2 linked regions of the Macaca mulatta genome follow. The protein of the gene in region 2 interacts with the protein of the main gene of each other region in a biochemical or structural test. Links are inferred from orthologs where the notes say so. Each region holds a gene or a part of one and is shown on either strand. Other genes may lie near its edges.

Region 1 (3,818 bases), on a different chromosome or scaffold from region 2:
CATGGTCCTCTTCAGTCTAGTCTCAATGAATTGTATGAGTTTAACTTTCATGAGTTGTCACCACTTATACCCAATTACTCACCATTACAGAATCTGCCAAGCTCTCGCATCTTTTTGCCTTTTCTTATGTGACCAAAGTTTTCCTTACATCTTCCCCTATCAAAGTCCTTCTCAATCATTTGAGGCCACGAACATATAGTGTTCCCTTTACAAAGCCTTTATTACTGCTTTGAAACCCAGTTTGTCTCTGTTCTCTATACTTCCATTAAGTCTTCGTCTGTACCTCTGTTTCTAGCTTGCCTTTCATCTTTCAACAAATATTTCTTGAACTTCAAATCAGTGTCAGGCTTCCTACTAGGTGCTGATTTCATGGACTGTGTGTTATAGTTAGCATAGTACCTCTGCCTCATTGACTTGTAAGCTCATTATTTATCTCTGCATCTCTCATCAGTGCTTGCGACATAGTAGCTGTACATTAAATACTTGTTCAATTGAGTTGGAATTTTCTTATACAGATCAGACTATGACAGTAAAATTTTTATAAAAATTGTTTTCCATCAACTGGATGAGAAATGGAATCGCACTTTTTAAACATATCTGCTACTATAGTCAATTCTCTCTGAAGAAACACAACTACTATCTCATGGTATTTCGATTTATCACCTGCTGTCTAAAGATGCTTGATTTTCCAACGTTTATGCCTTACCATCTCTTTATGTAATATTTACCTAGTCATCATCTTTCTTTATTTTCTTCCAGAAGTGACTTAAGATTTTTTTTCTTAAGGTGATAGACCCAAGGGGAATATTTATGTCCCCTCAAAATATCAATCATATTAACTGTAAATAAATGGATAATCAATTAGATTGACCATTCTCTTGTCTAAACTAGTCTCAAAGCTGGCTTGAAAAACCAGGCTAATCATGCTATAGTCCAATTATTTCAGTCCTATAAATCAGTTCTGAATGTCCAAATGCAGTTTGAAGAAATGTATTTTCTTTCATCTTTTCTTCTCCAAAATATTTTGACTATTTTACATTTCAGAGTTAGCATTTTGAACAGATTTTCTGCTTCACAGATTTGGATTTGTCCTTAAACCCAAGTGGAGAAGTGACCAGACAGATTGGTGATGCCCTACCCGTGTCATGCACAATATCCGCTAGCAGGAATGCAACTGTGGTATGGATGAAAGTAAGTAATATTTTTGGTACTACCCTGCTGTTTGGATTGATTTATTTTTAGGTTTCTTATGCACTTTATATTGTATTCAAGTAGATACATTCATGGATGTGTTTATATACCAGCTCGCTCTCTCTCTGTGTGTGTTTCTGATAAGATAAATAAAATAACAGTAAAATTTTAGAGGTGCTCATCAACAGGGTGACATCCATAATTGGTGTTCTGAAACTTAGTTTGGGGTGTTATGTCAATTATGTGTATAGATTAATTATACACACACACCACACACATGTGTGCACATACAAACATAGTTATATACCACAGGGCTTAACAATTTACAGTGTGGTTTTGCCCACATTATCCTTATGTGATATTTACAACAACCCTGTGAAATACAAGGATTATTATTTTCCCACATTATTCATATAAAGAAATTGAAGGAAAAGAAATCAGAAAGCTCATAACTGACAGAGACTCAAGGCCAGGCCTTACTGAGTACAAATACTATGCTTTGATAAGACACCTTTTTTGTCTCTCTGCAGCTGAGACCACTCTTAAGTTTCTGAAAACAGATTCCACTGGAGCAAGAACTCCTAGAAAGGAATCCCTTTTATCCCTGAGCTACAGTAGAATACCTGGAACATACTAGGAGTTAATTCAGTATTTCCTGAACAAGTGCTTACACTCCTGTAATTGTCTGAAATGTAGGCCATTGGCTATCCTTTTAGAATAAGGAAGTGTGACTGATAATTGGCGATCTGAGACAAGGTTATCACCAAAAGAAAAGGTTGTGTGTGATCCCTCCACTTAAACCCTTGGCTAGTATATCCAAACTCCCAGTGCATTTGTTACCAGAGCATGACATGTGACAAGAATCCTTAACCCTTGATGGGTTCAGAAAACACACATACCATTTGAAATAGGAGTTGACAAGAATTACCTTTATAAGAAACTGTGGAGAAATATTTTTTCTAGAGTTTCTTTTTAATGGAAATATATTAATGAAATTATTTTGTATTGCTTTACTGCCTGCCTTTTGATCCCTTTTAGCACTCAATCCTCTGTTACTTGTTGTGTTACTCTGTGAGCTCAGTTTCTTATTTTACTCTCAGCCACAGCGTCATCACAACTTGTTCACTAAAATAAAGTGCCACTTCCTGTGCTGCAATCTAGCATGATATGTATATAGTAATCAGTGATCACAAGGCTAGACAAGTTCTAGGCAACTACACTAATTCATAATCATGTGAACACTCATTGCGTATTTTACTATAGGACTAGAGAAACTAAGTTTACTGTGGCTTACACTGTTTTTACATCAACTGCAATCACTGTTATGAATTAACTGTCATGAACAACTCATATATTCAAAATAGTGATGATCAGTATTCCCTGATTATTGGTTAGTTAATGAGGAGTGGGAAAAAATATCCTAATGGACAAAGACCACATAATCTTAGGATCGTGCCTAGTTGCCTGCTTAGGAGCATTTCAATTCCTGACATAATGGGATTATTTTCTGTATATCAGGCAAGTTTTTAAAATTAAATGTTACATTTCTTTTGTTCATAGAAATTGGAATAAAAGCATTGTAGAGGGCATCACATGGTGAGCGGGCAAGAGCATGCCAGCTCAGCTCTCTATTCCTCTTCTAATAAAGCCACCAGCCTTATCATAAGGGCCCCACTATGATAACCTTATCTAATCATAATTACCTTTTGATGACCCCCACCTCCAAACATTATCAACGTGTGATTTTGGTGAATTAAGTTTTCCACACCAAATTTGGGGAACACATTCAAACCATAATACTCTATAATAGGTCCCCTGTGTTGATAACTGTATCAACAGTTTATGCGTTTGATAAGTGTATGAAATGACTTTCTTGCATGTATGCTCATCATTGGTTAGGTACCGCAAGTCTCCATGTCTGTCAATCCTATATCACCTACACGTACTATAAGGAGTAGGTACTATAAACTGAAAACTCCCCTTAATGTAAGCACAATATATTATTTGTATAATTAAGTCCTCAAAACAATTTAATTATGGTATATTATTACCCCACTTCACAAACAACGAAACTTGATTCTTACACGTTTATGAACACTTTCCAAATTATAAATTCAGTAAATGAAAGAGCCTGAAATAAAAATCTGGAAAAGGAAATCTATTTTGAAAGCATGTGAAGTTAAGAAAAAGAAGTTTGCATTTTTATTATTCCCAGAAGAATCGTTTTAGGCTTAATTATTATCTAATAAATACATTGAGAGTTTTAATTCTGCCACATGAGGTAATTTACTTTTTATTTAATCAGGATAACATCAGGCTTCGATCTAGCCCGTCATTTTCTAGTCTTCATTATCAGGATGCTGGAAACTATGTCTGCGAAACTGCTCTGCAGGAGGTTGAAGGACTAAAGAAAAGAGAGTCATTGACACTCATTGTAGAAGGTAATAAAATACTTGGGCACTAACTCAAATTATTCTTTGAGAATTTTATACCTGGTTTTTTTATGATCTCAGTTCAACATCTTATTTTAATTGTAATGATATTTTAGGCAAACCTCAAATAAAAATGACAAAGAAAACTGATCCCAGTGGACTATCTAAAACAATCATCTGCCACGTGGAAGGTTT
Region 2 (4,359 bases):
ACCCTGGCCTGTGGTTTGGTCACGTGTGTGTGAACTCCATGCTCCTTGAGGGCAGGAATATGGTTTCCTCTCTTTCGCTTCCACAGAGTCCTGTCCAGAGTTCTGCACACCAAATCTCTGTAAATGAATGGAATTGCATCTGGGAGCTTGAGGCACCCATGCAAACCTGTGCTGTCAGTGACTTCCACCAGAGGGCAGTGGCAGCAGGTGCCAGCACTGGGGCAGGACTGGGCGGGGTCTAACTCTGGGGGCACCTGGCTCCCCGTGGCTCCAATACTTGCCACATCAAATGCATACACCCACCTTTAGGACCGAACCCAATGGAGGAGGACCCCTCCCCATTCCACATGTTGGAGAAATGAAGACAAGCAAGGATGCAGGAAGTGGAGGGCCAGGAGAAGTGGACCTGGGATGGGACCAACTGGGGCAGGGCCAGGATTTGGAACCAAACCTCTTCTGCATTTGACCACTTCCAGGGTCCTGCTTGGACAACCGAATTATCTATTCCTTTTTTCATTCAAGAAACATTTATTCGCCTCCTACCATATGCTCCACAGGGAGTACCGTGGTGAATTAAACACACTTGGTCCCTGCCTTCTTCCTATAGCGTCAGTCTGCTGCACTGCAATGGGGCAACTTGGGGTTTCTCAGCAGCCCTGGGCTTCCTTCCTCTAGCCCTTCACTCCTGCTGTTCCTTCTGGCCCAGGGGCCTCCCACCATTGCTGCTTATCAAAAGCCTGCTCAGCCTTGTAGACCCAGCTCCCATGCCTGACTCCCACAGAGGCATGCCCAGTCTGGTACCTGGAGATGGGAGAGCTGGCCCCACTGTGCCATCTGAGGGGGCGGCTCCCACAGGGCCTTGGCACCCTTCCCTGTAGAAGGACTTGTGGGATGGTCATCTCTCAGGCCCTTCCCAATTTATGTTTCTCTGAGGGGAGACTTAGGCTCTTATCTCCAAAAGTGCATTAAGACCACACCCTCCTTCCCAACCTCCATCGCCTCTAAAGTTAAGATAAAACTCAGGATTTAATCCATGAGAGCCAAATCATGCAGACCGGGACAGGCAATGCCAGGACCCAGAATGACAGGGTCATTCCCTCCCTCTTCCAATAGGTACTGATTGAGCAGCTACTACATTATCAATTTTTTCTTCTGGGCCACCAGAAATGAGGCATGGCCCCTCCACTTGCCTTCTTAGAATACCCTCGGGGAAGTGTGTCTGCATGGATGTGTGTGCATGCTTGTGTCTGGCTCCGTGACTCTTGGGGTGCAGCCTGGATGGGTGGGCTCCCAGCACCGGCAGCTGGGGCTCTCCCCACCAGCCCCTGTAACAGCAGCCCAGCTTCCTGCAGACCAAAACCACAAGCAGAACAGGGAGGCGTGAGACACTCACAGGTTGGGTTTGATCGCATGCGTGTCGGAGGGGAGAGAGCAGAAAGACACAGGAACAGGAACAGCGAAGGGCAGAGCAGACCTGCGCCAGGGGCGCACAACGGCCGTGTCCACCTCCCGGCCCCAAAATGGTGCTTCCCACAGGCAGCCGCGTGTAGCAGCCAGAGACAGCTCCAGACATGTGGCTCTTCTTCGGGATCGCTGGATTGCTGACAGCAGCCCTCTCAGGTAGGCCCCCTTCCCTCATCTCCTGCCACTAGTGCTGGAGGAGCCAGATCCAGCCCTCTCAGTCCCCTTTCTGGTTGTTTGCCTGTGGTCACCTTTCTGGGATCTTTTAGCCAAGACTATACTCAGGTACCAGGGAGCTCCAGCATCTGGGGCTGGGATAGGACACAGGAGCCCCTCAAGGGGATGGGGCTGTGCCTGGGCAAGGCGCCCATCATGAGAAGCCTCCTGGAGTGACAGAATGTGGGAAGCATACTTTGTGCCTTACCAACAGGTCCCCAGGGTGTGAGGAGGGAGGTGCCCCTCCCACCCTTAAGCTCAGGAACTCCCCCATTTCCTATGTCTTGCCAACTCTTAAGAAGGAACCATTCACCTTCCAGAGAGGCAGGACCATTGACGGTGGTACTTTCCATGCTGAAGCTGAGGCTTGGGGTCCAGCAGGCTTAGGCCAATCACAGGACAGCACCCCCAAAACAGGACTCAGGGAAGCCAGGGAGAGTTCCGGACAGCCAGGCGCTGATGGCTTCGGCACAACCAGTTGGGGTCGTCTAGGGCATAAGTGAGCATGAAGGCCACCCCCACGTCTCAAGCTGTCCCCAAGTGACAAGGCACCTGGCCACCCGGGCCAGGGAATCAGATGACCAGAAGGTTTGGGGCACTGGACTGTGCTCCCCAGATACTTGCTGGCCCCTGTTGAATGCAGGGTCCAAGCTGGCCGGAGCTGGGCAGGGGCCTGGAGATACAAGAGGTCCTGACCCCATTGAGCTCTCACATTTTGGGGTTTGGGAGACCGGCGTGGAAACAGAATTCTGGGCCAGGGGAATCTGGGTCCACCCTGCAGCCGGGGAGCCAGATGCTTTCATTTTGTGATGGGGGAGACCCAGGAAGACCCAGTCAGGAGGGGGCATCGAGCTGGCTTGGAGGACTGGGTATATGTTGGGAGACTCTGGGCAGGGGGTGCCCTCCTCTCTGCCTTGATCTCCTCTCCCTTGCCTTGATCTCCTGTGTTCCAAGCCCGTGGCCTCATACTGGTTCAGGCAAAGCCATTCAGCTCTAGGAGCTGGAGTTTGTGTGCCTTCGGCTCTGTGCGTGTAGCTTTGCCCTGCTAACTCTACCAGGACTTTCCAGAGCAGCAGCTCCGGAATTTCGGCTGCCTTCTGCCCCTGAGCTGAAACAGACTATCCGAAAGCGGCCCCCTTTCCTCTTCCCCATGAAGCCCAGCCACAGGCTCCAGAGTAAAGTCGGGTGGGTCCAAAAGATCTTCCCTGACCCAGGGCTTCAGACCAGCTCCTTCTCAGCTTCCCAGTGGGAATGAGGGCCAGGGGCTGAGCTAGGCATTGGTGCCCTTGGCGTCCGAGCCGTGGCAGCTGGCCCAGCAGCCAGCCAGGAGAACTGGCTTTGAATGGTGCCCACAGGAAAGGCGGGAACCCAGAGACCCGGGCAGAGCTCAGGGAGGTCAAGCAAAGTAGTCCTGGAGCCTCCAAGCTCCTTCGTTCAGTGTGTCCCGCCCTGGCAGCTCTCGCCCGACTTGCTCCTTCCCAGTATTGTCATCCACTTTATGTTTTTGAAACTGTGTTGATATTTACTTGACTCACTTGTTGTTATCAATGCAAGCTCAGTTTTGAAAGGAAACTTTACATCACTGTTATAAGTGGAAAATCAGTATCACTTGCCATAGGTGAAAGGTAAAGAGAAACATAAAAACAAATGGTGGCAAAACCCAATTTCTATTACGCTTTAGCAAAAAGTGAAAAGATCGTGAAGACCCAGAGCTCGTCCTCTCTGTGAAAGGGGTGACGAGGGAGGGGAGAGGAGATGGCCTCCTGGCTCTAGTAGCTATTTTCTTCTTGACTTTGCAGAAGGACTGAAAACTCCGTGGGCAGGGAATAATTTCCTCACTCTGTGATTTCAGAGCATTAAACGCGGCTTCTGTAAACTCTCCCGAGGGTTGCTAGAGGTGTATGTCCTACTGCTGAAAAATATGGCCTCTCCAGGCAGGAGGAAGACGGCACCTTCAAGCAGCCCCCTTGTCTCTCTCCAGGGCTGATGCAAGGGACACTGAGCTGCTGCACCCCAGGCCTGCCTCAGCTTTTCTTCCTCTGTGTCTGGCTCAGCAGGCCCAAACCCTAGCAGAACCCAACCTCAGAGGGCAAGGTTGACCCACATCTGCTTGTGGGGAGTTTGTGTTCGGCCTAACATATTGGGGAAAGGAGACTAGGACCTCCAAGGAGAAAAAGAAGGAGAAAGAAAAATGATGGCAAAGAGGGAGGAAAGGGAGCTGGGAGAATGAAGTGCGTATGGAAGTTCCAGGCCTTTACCCCAAGAACTATTTTGGGGTGGGGCTCCCTGGCTCTGCCCTGGGACCACAGGCAGGTGGAATCCTGCCCTCCTTTGCACTGGCAGACCTGGCTGAGGACTTGCTGTGCTCGGGCAGATCTCCCCTCTCCTTCTTCTTCTTCTTTTTCTTTTCTTTTCTTTTTTTTGACAGAGTCTTGCTCTGTTGCCAGGCTGGAGTGCAGTGACCCGATCTCGGGCTACTGCAACCTCCGCCTCCCGAGTTCAAGTGATTCTCCTGCCTCAGCATCTGGAGTAGCTGGGATGGCAGGCACGCGCCACCATGCCCAGCTAATTTTTGTATTTTTAGTAGAGGACTTTACCATGTTGGCCAGGATAGTCTCAATTTCACGACCTCGTGAGCCGCCCACCTCAGCCTCCCAAAGTGCTGGGATTACAAGCGTGAGC

Evidence for each region.
Region 1: the proteins of CD6 (region 2) and ALCAM form a complex in vitro, tested with the Homo sapiens proteins (4 studies listed by BioGRID and IntAct). The link is inferred for Macaca mulatta from reciprocal best matches to the Homo sapiens genes CD6 and ALCAM.

What each region holds. Positions count from the first base shown.
Region 1 is NC_133407.1:178,103,589-178,107,406, reverse strand, and holds part of ALCAM (CD166 antigen precursor), read left to right. Parts: intron 1-1,078; coding exon 1,079-1,191; intron 1,192-3,496; coding exon 3,497-3,632; intron 3,633-3,739; coding exon 3,740-3,818. UniProt on the Homo sapiens protein: Cell adhesion molecule that mediates both heterotypic cell-cell contacts via its interaction with CD6, as well as homotypic cell-cell contacts. Promotes T-cell activation and proliferation via its interactions with CD6.
Region 2 is NC_133419.1:13,100,034-13,104,392, reverse strand, and holds the start of CD6 (T-cell differentiation antigen CD6), read left to right. Parts: upstream 1-1,348; 5' UTR 1,349-1,571; coding exon 1,572-1,620; exon of another isoform or gene 1,621-4,328; intron 4,329-4,359.